2 linked regions of the Oreochromis niloticus genome follow. The protein of the gene in region 1 purifies or fractionates together with the protein of each later gene. This does not show direct contact. Links are inferred from orthologs where the notes say so. Each region holds a gene or a part of one and is shown on either strand. Other genes may lie near its edges.

The links. Proteins that work in one complex are often made in the same cells at the same time.
Region 2: the proteins of dock1 (region 1) and elmo1 purify together in Homo sapiens (affinity purification with western blotting; 12 studies listed by BioGRID and IntAct, counting the BioPlex papers as one, with this or other methods). This does not show direct contact. The link is inferred for Oreochromis niloticus from reciprocal best matches to the Homo sapiens genes DOCK1 and ELMO1.

What each region holds. Positions count from the first base shown.
Region 1 is NC_031973.2:11,209,271-11,217,580, forward strand, and holds the start of dock1 (dedicator of cytokinesis protein 1), read right to left. Parts: upstream 3,132-8,310; 5' UTR 2,910-3,131; coding exon 2,867-2,909; intron 1-2,866. Other genes in the region: lg8h10orf90 ((E2-independent) E3 ubiquitin-conjugating enzyme FATS), read left to right, coding at 5,542-6,123. UniProt on the Homo sapiens protein: Involved in cytoskeletal rearrangements required for phagocytosis of apoptotic cells and cell motility. Along with DOCK1, mediates CRK/CRKL regulation of epithelial and endothelial cell spreading and migration on type IV collagen.
Region 2 is NC_031985.2:22,706,418-22,714,102, forward strand, and holds the start of elmo1 (engulfment and cell motility protein 1), read right to left. Parts: upstream 3,373-7,685; 5' UTR 3,246-3,372; intron 1-3,245. UniProt on the Homo sapiens protein: Involved in cytoskeletal rearrangements required for phagocytosis of apoptotic cells and cell motility. Acts in association with DOCK1 and CRK. Was initially proposed to be required in complex with DOCK1 to activate Rac Rho small GTPases.

The sequences.
Region 1 (8,310 bases):
GAGGACATGTTAGTGCCCTCAGACAGTAACCTGGAACCTCTGCAAGCAAACATTCACCTTATTAACAGAGATCAGCTTTATAATTCGAACCACATAAAGGTGTAGTCTAACTTTATCTTGTGAAATTAACATTTTAAAGACTGACTTTTGAATGTTCTGTAATTTAATGTCTTAACAATGTAACCTTTAAAGAGTGCACTCCATCTAAATAATAAACTGGCATAAAAAGTTAGTGTTTGCAGTATATAAATGATTAATGTATGGTCATGAAGAATGATTCACCTTTCTGCTAATGGTCTTAATATCTTGAGCATTGGACATTAGATTTGTTTTACAATCATTTTTTCAGTTTTCAAAAACACCTTCACATCCAGTTTGGTGTGGGTGTAGCTGCTGCTGCTGCAGACAGACTCTGGAGATTGCCAAGATAAACTATTCTTGGAACAAGCACATCGAAATATGCCACTTCAGATATGGTCACACTATAAGCCTCCACCCTAACGCAAATCATCTGTTCCCCTTTGTTGACAATAACCATGGACCAATCTTGTAAAGCTACTGATGTAGCACTTTCTTTCTTCACCAAAGCAACACTTGTTATTGTGTTACTTAGAAGAAGATAAGAGTGTGCTGCCCAAACAACTGACCAGCTGATCCTGAGATTACAGCCATACTGCAATAAAATTTAAGAAACCTGCACGTTATCATTACCCAACAGGGATATATTACTAATATATTACTAAGCTTTACATTCAACAAAAAAAGGCTAGTTTACTAAAAAGCTCCTCTGGTTTTGTTCAAGGTTTGAAGTGCTTCGCTTTCCACATAGTGAAGCATAACAATGAGCAGAGAGCTACGCAATATGACACAGAAAAACAAAAACAAATAAGAAAAACAAAGATTTATTTTGTTTCTGGTTATTATTGACACAAATCTAACATGGCTTTATACAAAGACTTGCTTGCACAAATACTGTAATGTGAATACACCAGTATGAGGACAAAAACATGCGTAATCACTGCTATGCTCTATGCAAGAAGACAGTGCCATTCATTATTAATGCTGCTGTGAGAAGACAAAAGGAGACACTTTTTCCACATACACAAACAAAGCAGTGGGACCATTATGAGAGTAGTAAATGGTGTGAAAAAAAAAAGTTTTGCTGAAACAGAAATAGGTCCTCAGTGAGTGCTGCTAGCATAAGGTGTCTCACCGACTGCTCATTAGTGCTACTTGGTCAACACATAAAGTATTAAAAGTGCAATGGCTGTGCACCCAACCAATACTGTGCAGCAGTGAGGTGGCAGCTGCTTCTCTTTTTACTAATGACTCATCCACTCTTGCATTCACTGAACCCTGAAAGAATTTTCTCCATGGCTTTTGAAGAATCTCAACTTTCAAGAACCGTTGCATATTTGTGACTAAACGGACAAGCAGTAGCATCAGAACTGTAAACTTGTCACACTTCAATCGCCATGAAACGGACCAAAAACCTGTGCTTTCACGTAACCGGCTGAACTCATCCATCAGTCAGCTTCGGCAACCCTCATACAGCTGCAAGCCCTCAGTCCCACTAATGGACATAGCCAAAAAGTAACTCAGTATGTTGTGGAACATTAAAAATAACAAACTGGGGCAGTGGTTTGGCTCACTGGGCAAGCCCAGGCAGCCCAAATGCAAGGCCTGGGTTCAAAATCGCCCCAAGGACATTTACAACGCATCTTCCCCCTGGTTTTTCTTCCAGCTTCCCCATCTTCTCTCCACTGTCCTTACAAATAAAGGCTAAAATGAAAGATCCCTAAAAAAAATCTATCCAGTGGCGCAATGAGCAACTTTAATCCATCAAAACTCAACAAGTCATGCGACTCTTTTCTTATATTCTGTGCATTACAGATTTCATCTGACCTCAACTTCCTCATGGTGGTTTTTTATTTTTATTGTTCCCTGTTCCATCCCACAGTCAAGTGGAATTACCAAAGAAATTTCAAAGCACTTCTTTTTTTATATCACACACCTGGATAGTTATTATTCAAATGTATCTAGAGCCAAAAAGTAAACATGTGGAAAGATGTGGTTTGTGCAATTAGTGTCATTTTTAAAGGCTGAATATTAGTGCGTAAAGCATGGTAAACCTGGTAAACAAAGACAAAAAATTAACAGTAATATAATTCTAACATCCCCTGGATGTATCTGATCAAGTCTTTTTCCTACAGGAAAACATAGCAAACGCTGCCCTTATAGCAGTTTCCCTTTAAAGCTGAGTTCTTCGACATATCATTCATACTAGTTACAGTTACTTTTTGCGACGAGGTTCGATACTGTTGAATAAATCCCCCCTAAAGGAGATGGTGGAAGCTAAACGGCACAATGCTCTCCAGCCAGGTTTCAAACTCTTAGATGAGCTGACAATAAGCAACCAACAGGGAAGGCTTTCCCTGGTACAGAAGACGAAAACAGTAAAAAAAAAACACAAAAGCAAGCATCAAACTTCAGAGTTACAAGTCCAGCGTAGCCTGAAACTAGCTAGTTAGTTTGTAGCGGAGGCCCCATAACACAGGAAACACCGCTGTACTAGGCGCGCCTCTAACAATTCCCAATCCACACACACACACAGTCCTCTTCCTCACAAAAGACAAGACAATCCTTGTTCTGCATTTCATGCAAACCAGCTGGCACATTCCCCACTCGTAATATTTGCATTCCACTAGCTTTTGTCAAATATGACCACGGGATCCCGCGTACAGCCCCACGGATGGGAAAAACTCAGTCGTTCGCTTTCTAATCACAAATCTTCCCTAACTTGTTCAATCTGAGAGCAGAGAGCTAGGGCGAGCTAGCGATGGAGCATGCAAGTTTTCTTACGTACCAACTCCATACTTTTCCTTTTTAGTGGGCACCCAGCGAGACATTCTCAGTGTCGAGGCTTCCCCGAGTTGTCGCTCTGCCTGTTAAAAAAGGTCCAGATGTGACCTCTTGTTATTAATGTAGACTTTTTTTTTTTCAGTTTTCTCTGAGCTTTGGGGAGTTACTCCGAGCAGCCATTTTCCACCAGTGACAGGACGCTCCGCAAGGGGGAGGAAGGGAACACAACTTTTTCACCCTGCAGGCGTCCTGCGAAACTCGCAGCGCTGGTCGTGCTGTGACGGACGCTGCTACACACTGAGCTGCATGACTGATTAGATGATTGCAGGTTAATCTGCAAGGGCGTAGAAATATCATTATGTCATAAAGCAGTTATAATTCAAGGTTGATGTTAATTTTTTTAGTTATTTTGTTTCAATATCCACATAAGGTGGCTACAACGTTTATGTTAATATAAAAATATGCTAATTATGTAATGCAACATTCTAAAAAGCTATCTAAAGACTAGTATATGCAAATGTTATAAGAAAATCAGATTTAGCAGCAGGGGATTGAATTAATAAATGCGATGATAACTACAGAAGACTAAACTTAATATTAATATCACTAATAGTGATAGTAACATCCATTTGGGTCGGGTTTAAATAAGTGCTTCATGTGCTTTAGAGAGAAAAAATAAAATAAACTCACAAATTAAACATGTTTCAGTCCTAACGTTAGTTAGTTGACTGTAGCGTTGGAGACTTTTTCTTTTTTCTTTTTTTTTTACCTCAGAGTGCATGGTGTTAAGGTAAAACGCGTTCACAGATACACACACTATACTCATCTGATTGACTCGACCACAGGTTTAAAATACATGCGGTCAGCGTTCATTTCCTTCCTTGCTGGCGCTTAATGATAAAGGCGACCGTGATATTTCTGAGCAGCAATGCGCTGATTCAAGCAGCAGAAATGGCCCCTTAAAGCTGCGGGTGCTAAACAGATGATACAGAAGTGATGCACCTGCTTCACACGCTCGAACCTGCTCGGCTTTATTTATCTTTTCTGCACAACTGATGCATCCTACTCTTAGATGCACAAGTCTCTCAACTTATTAAGACCGTGCCCCCCACCGTTCACCATCCCACAAACACTCTTTTCCATCCCCTTTCCTTTCTCCCTCCTCTCCAGGTTGTCATATTAAAGTTGTGCCAGCAGAGGGGGCTGCCGCTTTCAGACTTCTTCGCCTAGGAAAGAAGTTACCTTTCGTCTATCTGGTCAAATTCTGTCTTTACTCAGTTGAGTTTTTCTATTTGTTTACGTATTATCTCCCAGGCTGAGCGGACAAAATTATGCAAATTGTTTCAAATCACTGCATTTTCATTCTACATGCAGCTTCTCAGCTTAAAAACGTTCCCTTAAAGCAGGTCACTGCAAATGATAGACAGGACACCTCTGTCTTATCTTTGTCTTTTTTTTACATTTGGAAAATGTAATTCCACCCAGTGATACTGAAGTTGTTTTGAAAGCCATGTAGGGACTGGTAATCCACCGAGGACAGTGAAATTCATTATTATCAAAGCAGGCGCCAGTTTTCTTTTTCTTTTGTTGTTGGAAGAAGTTGTATCTTTGCAGATCTGCATTTAAAGATTAAAGATGCCCCTGAATAAAATCTGAAGCAAAATCCTTCTCCCAGCAAGTTTTCCCACCTTGTAAATATCCTTCTCTCTTGCATTGCATGACATCATGTGGGTCACAGTTACTTACCCGAGAAACACTGGCCCATTTTAAGACAGTCTTGCTAAAGTCACATGGCTTGGATAGAAGCTTGAGGATAGCAATGCCTCATCATCAGCCACCAACCACGAGATCACAGAGAAGAGACGAAACAGGGGGAACTGAACAAAGAGGATTTACCAAAGCAGTAAGTGAGTCGTGGATTAACATGGATAATCTGCTCATTAGTGATGCTCTATCATTTGAAAGGACTCTTGAATGTCAGGAAGTTTGACTTGCCTTTTAAAATATTGAATACTGTATTTGGCTTGCCGTAACCTAAAATTAGATAGTTTAATCCCTACATGATGAATGTTGACTATGTTCTTTGTTTAAATGGAGCTCTTGTTACGTCAGGCATCACATCAACAAGTGTTTGTTTTTCGGCCCGCCTCTCCCTCTGTCTCTTCCCATCTTCCTCTGTGTATTGGATGTTGAGCCCTTGTGCTCAGTAACTCTTTTGTCCTCCAAACCTTCCCTTATACTGCTACTTGCTGCTTGGCTGGAGACAGTACCCGCTACCACCTACTTTATATCAACACAGGCAGTGTTTACTTCCTAAACACTAAAGAGTGAGAAGAACTGGATTCAAGTGAAAAAGGACTGTACGTCATTAACTGGTGAGTAACACCACCATCACGGAATGAAATTGATAATAACTGTTGTGAGTCTTATAACCTAAAATAACATATCTGAAACTCTAATTCTGAACTTTGTTCTCATATGTTCTCAAAACAGGAACTGTGACAAAGATGACCTTGATCATTACTGTAACTGCTGATTCCTTGCAGTGCATTTCTAGGATGACTCTTGTCAAGAAGTCGGCTTGAGCCAGGAGTTTCTCATTAATACCTCCACAGTAAACGGCTTTTATTGAGGAGCTGAAACTTGAGAGCTGTGAGTGGTAACCTAAGCTCCACAGGGATGACTCTCCGTAGGCCAGCTGCCCACCTAAGGAGGACTCCAGGCTGGAGGAGATCAGGAGATGAGTCCTACTGGGAGAGCTTGATGTCAGAAGGGCCCGCTGTTTCTCATCCACCACGTGCACCGCGGCCCCAGAGCGCCATTGAAGGTGGCCAGCTGGACAGCTGGCTAGAGCACCTGCAGGCTATGCAGAGCACACTTAAAGCCCCAGCTCATAATCAGGCTCGAGGGTTCAATGACCGAACAACATCCATGCCTGTTCTGAACAAAGAGCCAACTGGACGTGCTTGGAGACACACGGGTTTTCCCTCTTTCAGCAGGGTCTCATCTTCATGTGAGAGTTCAAGCCTATGTGACAGCTCGTTGGGCAGCCAGGAGTCCCTCCAGACTGGGGTTTTTTCACCTCCGGAGCGCAGAGGAAGCTGGGAGAGAGCCCATATCATGCAGGCTCCAGAAAAGGAACAAGCCGAACTTAGTTATCTTTCTCCAGTCAAAATTGGATGGCTGCCAATCCAAAGAAGAGTGATGATGGTGGCAGACACTTGCAACCAAAACCAATTTTTGGATCATGCTCCCAGCCATGTAAGACACATAACACCTGGTACAAATAAAAATAAAAAAAAAGTTTGGCAATAGAATATTTTATGAAATTCTTTTATCTGCAGTTAAATTAGTGAGGACTGAAGAATGTAGAGAAATTGAACAGTTGCACTCTTCACCTTTCTGGAAAACCAGTTAGAGTAACACAATTTTAAAACAAGCACTGGCAAAGATTTAGCTTGGATTTGGCATTGGCATCATCTTGAATTGTGTGATTTTTGCATGTTAGTGTTGTGTATGCTCATGGAGTCTGAAGCTAAGTGTTTTGCAATGGAGGTGACGGTGCTTTGTGGCAGGCACCGTAGAGTAAAACACACAGAGTGCCACAGAGAGCCATTTGTAGTCAAGTCTCTGTTACCCAGGAAGAAGGCAGCGCTCTGGCATCCTTTGAAAACAGCTTACTCTGCAGGAACTCAGTGCATTCTCAAAAGGTTTACGACTCATTTGGAGCTATGTGCTCTGTGCCCAGAGAGAGAAGCAAGTCAATGTACAGAAATAATTCAATAGGAGCATCACCCAGTGATCTGATAATATGGCTTTGAATTGATAAGTTGCTGGGCTGTAGAGATCTGACTGAACTGATGCATTAAGCAGATCCCTAGTGACTCCTGACTGAGAAAAATGAGGCTGTTTATATTTTCAGTTGTTTCCACTTGAAAAAAAAAAGCTCTGAATGATTGTGGTTAAAACTTAAAACTTTAAGGGAGATGTGCTTTATTTAGGAAAATAGATACTCTCATGGCTGTTGGTTGACTAACTTTGGTGCCAGTTAGACTGAAAACCAGAGGAATCAGCTAGCCTGATATTGTCGGAGAGACACGGACTAGCTATAGCTTTTCCTTTTTCAGTCTTTCTGAGAAAACCTGTTAGCTAGAAGTTGGACGCTGTGTTAGCATCATATTTACCGTGCAGGTCTTAGTCAGTATACAAAAATAGACATAGCTTCTTTGACGGAATACATAAGCAACTGTGGAGGTGCTTTAAACATGGATCCTTTCTAATGGCCACTGAAGGCAAATCTGGGAAGTTTATGGGGAAAACAGACCACTTCCCCCTTTGATTCATCTTCTCAGTAAACATATTCCCGTTGAGCTTATGGTGTCATTTATTAGTTTGAAATCTTACTAAATATAACATGATACACATTTTGTACATTATGGCCACCATTAGCATCCAGAAGGACAATAAAGAGCAGGTCTTCCTTGTTGTTGACAGCTCACTTAAATCATTAGTTAAAATTAATCTCTGGCTCTCTTTTCATCTTTCTCCCATTGCCCCCCAACCCGTCCCAGCAGGTGGCTGCCCCTCCCTGAGCCTGATTCTGCCCGACTTTTCTTCCTGTTAAAAGGGAGTTCCTCTTTCCCACTTTCACCAAGTGCTTGCTCAAAGGGGGTCGCTTGATTGTTGGGATTTTCTCTCTATTATTGTCTTTACCTTACAATATAAAGTACCTTGAGGGGACTCCTGTTGTGATATAAATCAAACTGAATTGAACTACTCTATCAAAGTGCAGACAGATTAAAATCCACCTCACATAACATCTCTTTTGGAAAAGCTAAAATGCCAACAGCTAAAAAAAACTTCACAAACCAGTGGATGATCTCACAGTGGCTACTTCATTTCTTTTAAATTACTCAAGAGCACAATATCATCATCATATCATCTTAAGAATGTAAGGACGCCTTTCCCCACTCTTTTAAATGTACCAAACATTGACAGAAAAAAATCAGTACTCCTAGACCAGTGGTTCTCTAAGTGTGTGGCGCAGAGTTCTTGAAGGTGGGGCGCAAGTTACCTGGCAGAAAGGTCATGCAGAACTAATGTTTAACATCGGAATCCCTTTTAGGGCGTAACAAAGAAATTTGCGGCAGTTACGTTAATAATATGCGCATCTGCTGTAAAACTGCAGCTGCGTGTGTAAGTCGACAGCCGCAATAAATAAGTGTACTGAAAAGTGCCAACATGTGGTCGGGTCTGTCATGCATCGTTCACAGTGGTGCCGAAACCCAGGATTGGGTCACTAGAGACCCGACCACATGTTCGCACTTTTCAGTACACTTCTTTATTGCTGTCGACTTACACATGTGGTTGCAGCTTTACAGCTACAGCCTACACATATCAACAACAACAACAACAACAACAACAACAGGACCTAGCTCATTCTGTTTT
Region 2 (7,685 bases), on another chromosome or scaffold:
TGGAACAACTTGCATTTACGTGGTTGCGGCTTAAGATGAACAAGCAGTAAGCTCGGGATACATCAGGGAGAAAACAATTTACATACCTCGGCTTCCCTTGGGGAGCAACAACGGAGAGTGAAAAAGTAGATTGGGGGGGGGTGCAACGTGAGAGTGCGCAGCTGAGAGGAAACTGCAAGAGACGGATTGCATGTGTGAGAAAGGAAGCATAAGCGAGGGAGCAAGCTAATAAGAAAAAGGCGAGGGGGGGTTGTCAGACGTGAGGAGTAGGAAATTAGCAGGGTTGCACTTGAGGAGGTGGTGAGAAGATGCCAAACAGTAGGGAGCGTCAAATGGGTACAGAGAAGGATCTCACATGTGATGCAAGTCAAAGAGGCGAGGGCAGGCACCCATCCTCTCCCCAAATGCCTCTCCATCTCAGCCTCTGTGTACTAATCTGATTTCCTGGATTATATTTCAGGATTTTAAAAAAAAGAAAAAAAAAGCCCCAAGTACTCAATTTTAATTCCATCAGTTTGTTTGGTGACTCACTGCTGCCGCATTTCATCATCCAACTTTGTTTTGCTCTTGTGTTGCAACACTCCATTTCTACTGCTGATTTTTAAAACCCTGCAGAGCTAAAGAAATATTTACTCGGGCGAGGGGAGCTAACAAGAAATGAAGGTTTGCCGCGGCTGATAAAAACTTAAGCACACGGGTCCCTCGTGTGAACGTAAACCTGAAATATGACTCTGCTGGATCAACACGGTGAACCTCACAGCCAGGGTTGATGGGGCTACAGGTAGCGCTCTGTTCCCCAGTATGGCTCATAAATGGCCTTCTTTGAGTGGTAAAGCTGTGCCAGACCTCTGCTGAAAATCTGTAACTCACAGTCATAAGAAGTCACGGGGTGCATAATATTCTTATGGACATTATTACTGGAAAAACAACTCCACTGAATCCCTTCTGGTCAAGTTCTGCATCTCCGGTGTAATGACTGCGTGTGTCCCAGTGCTTTTGCTTCTAGGCTACAATCTCGCCATGACACGATGACGCCAACATGCTTGCGGTTCCATCACAACAGGGACGTCTTTGGCGGCTAACGGGGCGTATAAACGAGCTCTCACTCTGCCAGAAGTTGCCCAGAGGAGCAGAGGGTCCGAACGCAGACAACAGCGCAGACCCAGGGCTGCACGATGACTGATGCGATGAGGACAGCGCCGAGACACGCCGAGCTGTCTGCTGTTGAGGTCTTTTTAGAACAGCTACAGATTGAAGTGAGGGAGGAATAATGAAACGGTGGTTACAAAAGTGGGATTCGTGGCATCAAATTGGTAGATTTTCTCATCTTCAGCACTGATTCCATCCGCCTCGTCTTATCTCACAGGTTTAAAAGCATTGTCAGGGAAGCATTATGGGACTGTTTCTCGTTTCACTGCAGGGAAAACACAGTGCGATGGATTTGAAGCTGCACATCGGAATCAAGTCACAGCGATCCTGTTACAGGAGGTTATTTCAGATTTAACATCCATTACATCCCTTTAGTCTATGGACTCTGAGTCTGTTTTTCACTGATTTCTACCTATTCGTCGTGTACTCTCAATCACAGCATGAGGTGTTGAGATAATAATCACTCCAATCCACACATATCTGCTTATGAATTTATAGAATCTGCAGACAAGAGACAAGATTTCAGTGCCAGAAGTTTTTCTTTTTTTGGGTTTGGCTGCAAACAGTAAATAATCTGTAGGGAGAACTAAAAAATAAATACATGCACCGGAAGAATCAAAGTCGCAAAATCATCAGCTATCCTTTGATTGGCATTTAGGCTTTTAATTACTTTGAGTAATGCATTTGGATTCGTTATTAAATTATGACCACCGCACACAACAGGAAGCTTTGGGCCCAATACGTCCAGATATCCGACGGCTACGCTGGAAGAACATTTGATATCATATTTTAATGAAATCAAAATTGATATACATCTCACATTAGCTGATCTACTCCACAGTCTTTCCTCGTAAGAGCAATTTGGAGACGAAATGCTTGGGAATGATGCACCCAGCCCCTGTGTTGTTTATCAACAATATTAATATACTTTCTGCTGTAATGAAGAAGAAGGGGAGCTACTTAGGGCCAAATCTTTGCAAACAGAGGTCTAATGTGGTCTAACGTCTTGTTTCTTTCCACAAGAGTAAGGCAGGAAAACAAAGCAGAAGGTTATTAAATCAGCAATGACGAAAAACTGATTAACTACTGTCTTTCTACCCAAAGAAATTGGATATCCAGCCAGTGCAAGGGGAGGAGTGACAACAGATTCTTCTTCTTCATTTTTTTTATTTTTTTTTTTGAGGGACAAGACTAATCAGAAGTTTGGGAAACAACACTCATTAAAACGCATTGATTTGACAGGGGAGGTCAGGTGAAAACACACCGGAAGTGAAAAGAGAGAAGTGAAGGAGACAGCTTTAAAGGGTGTGAGTGAAGCTCATGTTGGTATCGCAGGTTCTGATTCGTTTTGAGGATAGCAGAGAGCTTCTGCATGCATCAGAGGCTGTCCGGCTTCTTCTCTCCCTCCTCTCGCCTAATCACAGGCCCGCGGTGTGGCCAGCGTGCAGGGCTGGAGTTACACACCGCGCACAATTAAAGCAGCTCTTTAATTAAGGGGGGGGGGAGACGTACAGCTTTTTCCTTCTTCTTCCTTTTTTTCTGCATTTAGCCATCAGCAGCATGCACTTCCATCACACAAGCCGGGCAAAGCAGAGACCTCGGCTGCTTCTTAGCTGTATATCTGCCGCAAACACGCAACTTGCAGCGTTGCTGTGCACTTGTTTCAAAAAAGGGGAAAAACAAGAAACTAAACCGAGGACAAAGCCTGGATTTGCTGGCACTTTCATTTATGCATCGCAGTTCAACATGCATGTTTGCGAGAGAGAGAGGGAGCAGTGATGCTTAAAAAAAAATCCAAAAAAAAAATCAGAAAGAGCATGTCAATAAAAGAACAGCGCCCGGAGCCGCTGTGAGGCCACCGAAAACAAAGTAGCGACAGGCAGGAGGAGAGAGCCGTGAGCGCAGGAACACTCGCTGCCTCGCTCCGGCGTAACGCACAGAGACTCGGGCATGCCGTGGCGAGAGCGCAGCGAACACACAAAAACACTGCGAGCCACCCCCCAGGAACATTTAGCGCCACAACGCGAAGGAAGTGAGACGGAATTTCAGCAACATCAACATTTCTGCAGGAAGAGGGAAACGAGGCTTTCACCAACCTGACGACGCGAGGACGCTTCTTCCACTAAAAGGCGCCGATGTCCGGAGTTGTGTGTGTGTTGTGAGTGAGAGAGAGAGAGTGTGTGTGAGAGCGTGTCACTCACTGGTGTTTCCTCTCCTTCTCTCTCTCTCTCTCTCTCTCTCCTCTGCCGTAGAGATAGTGCTGATGTTTCCACTTCCTCTTTTCTTCTGCCGTCTGCTGGCTGGCTTGTGTTGCCAAACAGAGGATGCACGAATGCATGACAGCAGCAAAACTCAAGCAGCCGCTGGTGAACAGGAGGAAGGGGACTTTTTGGTAATTATTTATTTTTCTACAGGATGGAAAATCGTTATTTTACTATTTTAGCCATAAAGCTTAGCTCGGTTTGGTTAATAACAGTTTTAAGTGCAGTGCCAACATACAGAAAGGGAAATGAAAACTTTATTCTTGTTTTACAGAGTATTTCTGAGAGGAAACCTTCACTCTGTAAAAGTAATCCTCTCCTCATTTTCCCTCTGTCAATTTATTTAACTAAACATGTAGTGAGGGAGCGTGTGGTGACAGTGGTGTGTATGGGTGTGTGTAGGTGTATGTTGGATAAGGATGCAAGAGCAAAATCACCTAACAGGAATATCAGGATCACAGAAAACTGGAAGCTGAAGAAGCAGGAAGCACCTTTTCTTATGAGGCCTTCAAAATATGTGCTATAAAGATTAATTTATCATCCCCAAAGCATTTGATATCAGCGTTGGATTAGGTTAATTGCAAGATAAGCAAGAAGATGACCATCCCAGTTTGATTTTTGTTCATCGGTTATAACATTCTTGCACAGTAAAGCACACTTTCCAAGAAAATGAAAACAAATGGTGTGTATTTGATGTATTTTCTTCTTCTCTAATTTATATTTGTTACTGTTTGTTTATACTCCTAGATGCAGGGCAATCAAAAATGACATTAAAACCCAATATGGATCATGTGTAAAGGCATATGTGTAGGCTATCTGGAAGTTATTAAAAAGAGTAAAAAACAGGCTGGAAGAAAACACTGATTAGAGAAGAAAAGAGCAGAACACAATAGTCTGTGTTACATCATATACTTAAATGTTACTTCATGCTCTTGCTGATTTTCCCTGATGTCTTTAGTAACTACGATCCTTAAAAAAACACATCATTCTTGATAAAGAAGGGACTGTCTCCTCAAGAGGACTAAATGTACTTTGCAGTTCATCATTAATGACTTTGCACAGAGAATTTACAAGGCTGAAAATAAATACACGCTTATGTTTCGGCTGAGAATAATTTAGGAAAAAATGAAATATTAGAAAGGACTTCTGCCTCCCCGAGTGAGCCTACACCAACATGACAAATGGTGGGCCTGCTACGGCAACGACTGAACAGATTATACCTGACAAACAACTCAAATCCGAAGGAGACGTCTATTTTTTTTTCACAGTAACTGATGAAACAAAAGCAGATCGGCCTTCAGTCTCTCGGGAAAGGAAAGGCAAACGGGAACAGTGCTTTCAATAATTCATGGTTATTGAATGTCCTCCTGTTTGGAGGGTGGGATTATGACCTTCTAGTGTTACTTTATGTCTGGGAGCATAATGTTACAGGCACTCTGTAAAGACTGCAGCATCTCCGAGCCACGGCGTCCCTTTAATTTTGATCGTTAATTACCTGCTGTGCTTGGTACCAGAATGAGTGGCATTTGTGGCTGAAAGAGAAAAAGAGCGTGTGGCAGGCAGCTCTGCAGCTCGTCCTCGTCTCCACTCAGCGGGAGCAGCAGCAGGAGGATTAATACAGGAGCCCTGTTCGTCCTGGCAAACAATCTGGAGCGACACACCCAACAGAAATCTCTTAGTCCCTCATTCTGTTTATTTTTCTCTCTGCGAAAAACACAGGATGCAAAACTCGGCCCGTTTAAATGGCAGCCCGCGTCCTCGACTTCACACCCAATCTGACTCCATAAATAGGCTGCGAGGACAGGCACACCTGACCCAAAAATATAAGAGGAAGAAAACAGATATTTTTATGTGTTTTTCAAGATGCGTCAACACATTTTGTTTTTCTGTGCAAGCATACAGATTTGACTCCGATAATAAATCTTTGTTTGACCTATGAATGCTGCGTGAGCACACTCAGCATGCTTGATATGGTATGTAATATATTATAAACAGCACTTACTGCTGCTTTTCTTTTGGGGAAGCAAACAAAAGCATTCTTTTATCCCTCTGAGTTATTTGCGTCATTCGGTCACTGTGACCTTTGGATCCCCGACTCTAACTTGAGAGGGCTCAAGAGCAAATCGAAGGGCTCAGAGATGAGGTCATATTTTCATCTTCTATTTCGCCATATAGCTTTAAGACAGCCCACACTCCTAAAAAAGCATTGCATGATGCATTCAATCAAGTGGAGACTCACAGTGCAAGCCGGTAAAACTGCAGAGTCACTCTCATTTCTGGTGTTGCACTCAGAAGGTAAGCACTGGACTGATTTCTTTTTATAGATGTCAGTTGTCACTTGTGTAACTCGCTCTGATTTGGACACATCCTGTTTCACAAACAGTGGGCCAACCTCCATTCATCTGCGTGTCTGGTGTGAAACTTTAATGTCATATCAGATAACACTATCAAAACAGAGGGAAGCCTTGGTGCTGCTTAATTTTCCCTTTTGGCAAACATGGTTATTATTCATGAGTTAAGTGCAGCAGCTCTGCTCATAAAGGTTTAATTGTCTACTTTTCTTTTTTTCCTCCCATATTTTGGAAAACAAATCCAGACCATACGTATCTGAAGAGCTGCATGTTTTTGCTTCAGATTTGATTGTTAACAGAAGACTGGTGTTCAGCAGAGAACGTCAAAATCAGATTTTACCTGCCTAAACACGATGCTCTTACCTTTAGACTTGTCTTCATTCAAGCTGAGATCAAGTGATTAAACGGGCCACGATTTAGGATCATCGTTTAATAACGAAGCGTTGTCCGCTGGGTTTCAGTGCATTTAGCTTAATTAGACCACCCTGTTACATTCAGCAATAGACCAACAATAACAATAGATGGCAGCGTGCCAGTTCCTTTGGCAAGCCATACATGCTCAAACAGAAGCACCACCGAGTCTGATGATGAATGGGTGTTTCGGCTAGTGAGTCGTTCCTTGTTCTCTTCAGTTCGCTCTATCCATGATTTTTTTTTTTTTTTTTTTTGACAGATTCATGTTTTCTTTCAGCATCCCACAGAAATTGGATTCAAAATGATGCAGGGCTTCTTTTGTAATTGTGAGTCCTCCGAGGCTTCGAGGTCTTCGCTTGATCGTTGACAAGGACTCATGACATACTGCAGACATAAAAGAGGGGTTTCTTAAACACACAAATCCACTCATCCAGATAACTTGTATTCCACTGTATAACAGCTGGTTTTCTATTTTATTATTTTCATGTGTTCACCTGCTTTTTAATAATAATAATGTATACTTTATTGATCCCCGTGGGGAAATTCCTCTCTGCATTTAACCCATTCACTCAGTGAAGCAGTGGGCAGCCATTGGGCGGCCAGTGTGGAGGGACGGTACCTTCCTCAGGGTAGCCGTTCAGTGGATTCAAACCCCCGACCTTCCGATCACGGGGCCACCACTCTACCTACTGAGCTATCCCTGCCCCTTGTTGTTTTTAAATTAACCCAGCTGCCTATTTTGGGGGAAATAACAACCTTTAATGTCTAGAAATACATTATTAACTTCAAATTACAAGTTGAATCCACACACAGCTAACCTAAAGTCTTACCAGGTTGAACTCCCTTTTCCCTTTAGGAGTGCTTGAATTCTTCTTAGCATAAATTCAACAAGGTGCCGACGGATGACAGCATCACACATTTGGTCAATTGCCTGTTACCAGTGTTGGGACTAACGCGTTATTAAGTAACGCGTTACAGTAACTACGTTATTATTGTGGTAACGAGCACGGTAACTAGTTATTATGCCAAAACCAGGAACGCGTTACTCGTTACTGGGATTTAGATAGGCTCGTTACTTCGTGTGGTGGATATCGCGGAGCTTCCACAGATTCAATAACATTAGCAAGTGGTGGAGGCCAGCAGGTGGATGAAGGAAAAGGGAGGCAAGAGGAGAGACCCGTGTCAGGTGAACTGAGCTTCAGGTAAGAAGTTATGACCTGCAGTCTATCGGAGTCAGATATAAACCAAGTTTAGGTGGAGTTTATTTTCGGTATGCTGACATTTTCGTACTGCGTGCTAGCTAGCATGACGGAGTTTCTATACAGCTGGGTGGGTGCGATGTTACTGATGTTGAACTTTATTTTGTTCTTACGGTTAATTATTAGAGTTGCCAACCGTCCCCTAAAAAACAGAATCGTCTGGTATTCAGAGAAAATATTACGCGTTTCGTACTGAGGTGAAAAGGAACACAGTTTGTCCCGGACTTCAGCTACAATGAAAAAGACACAAA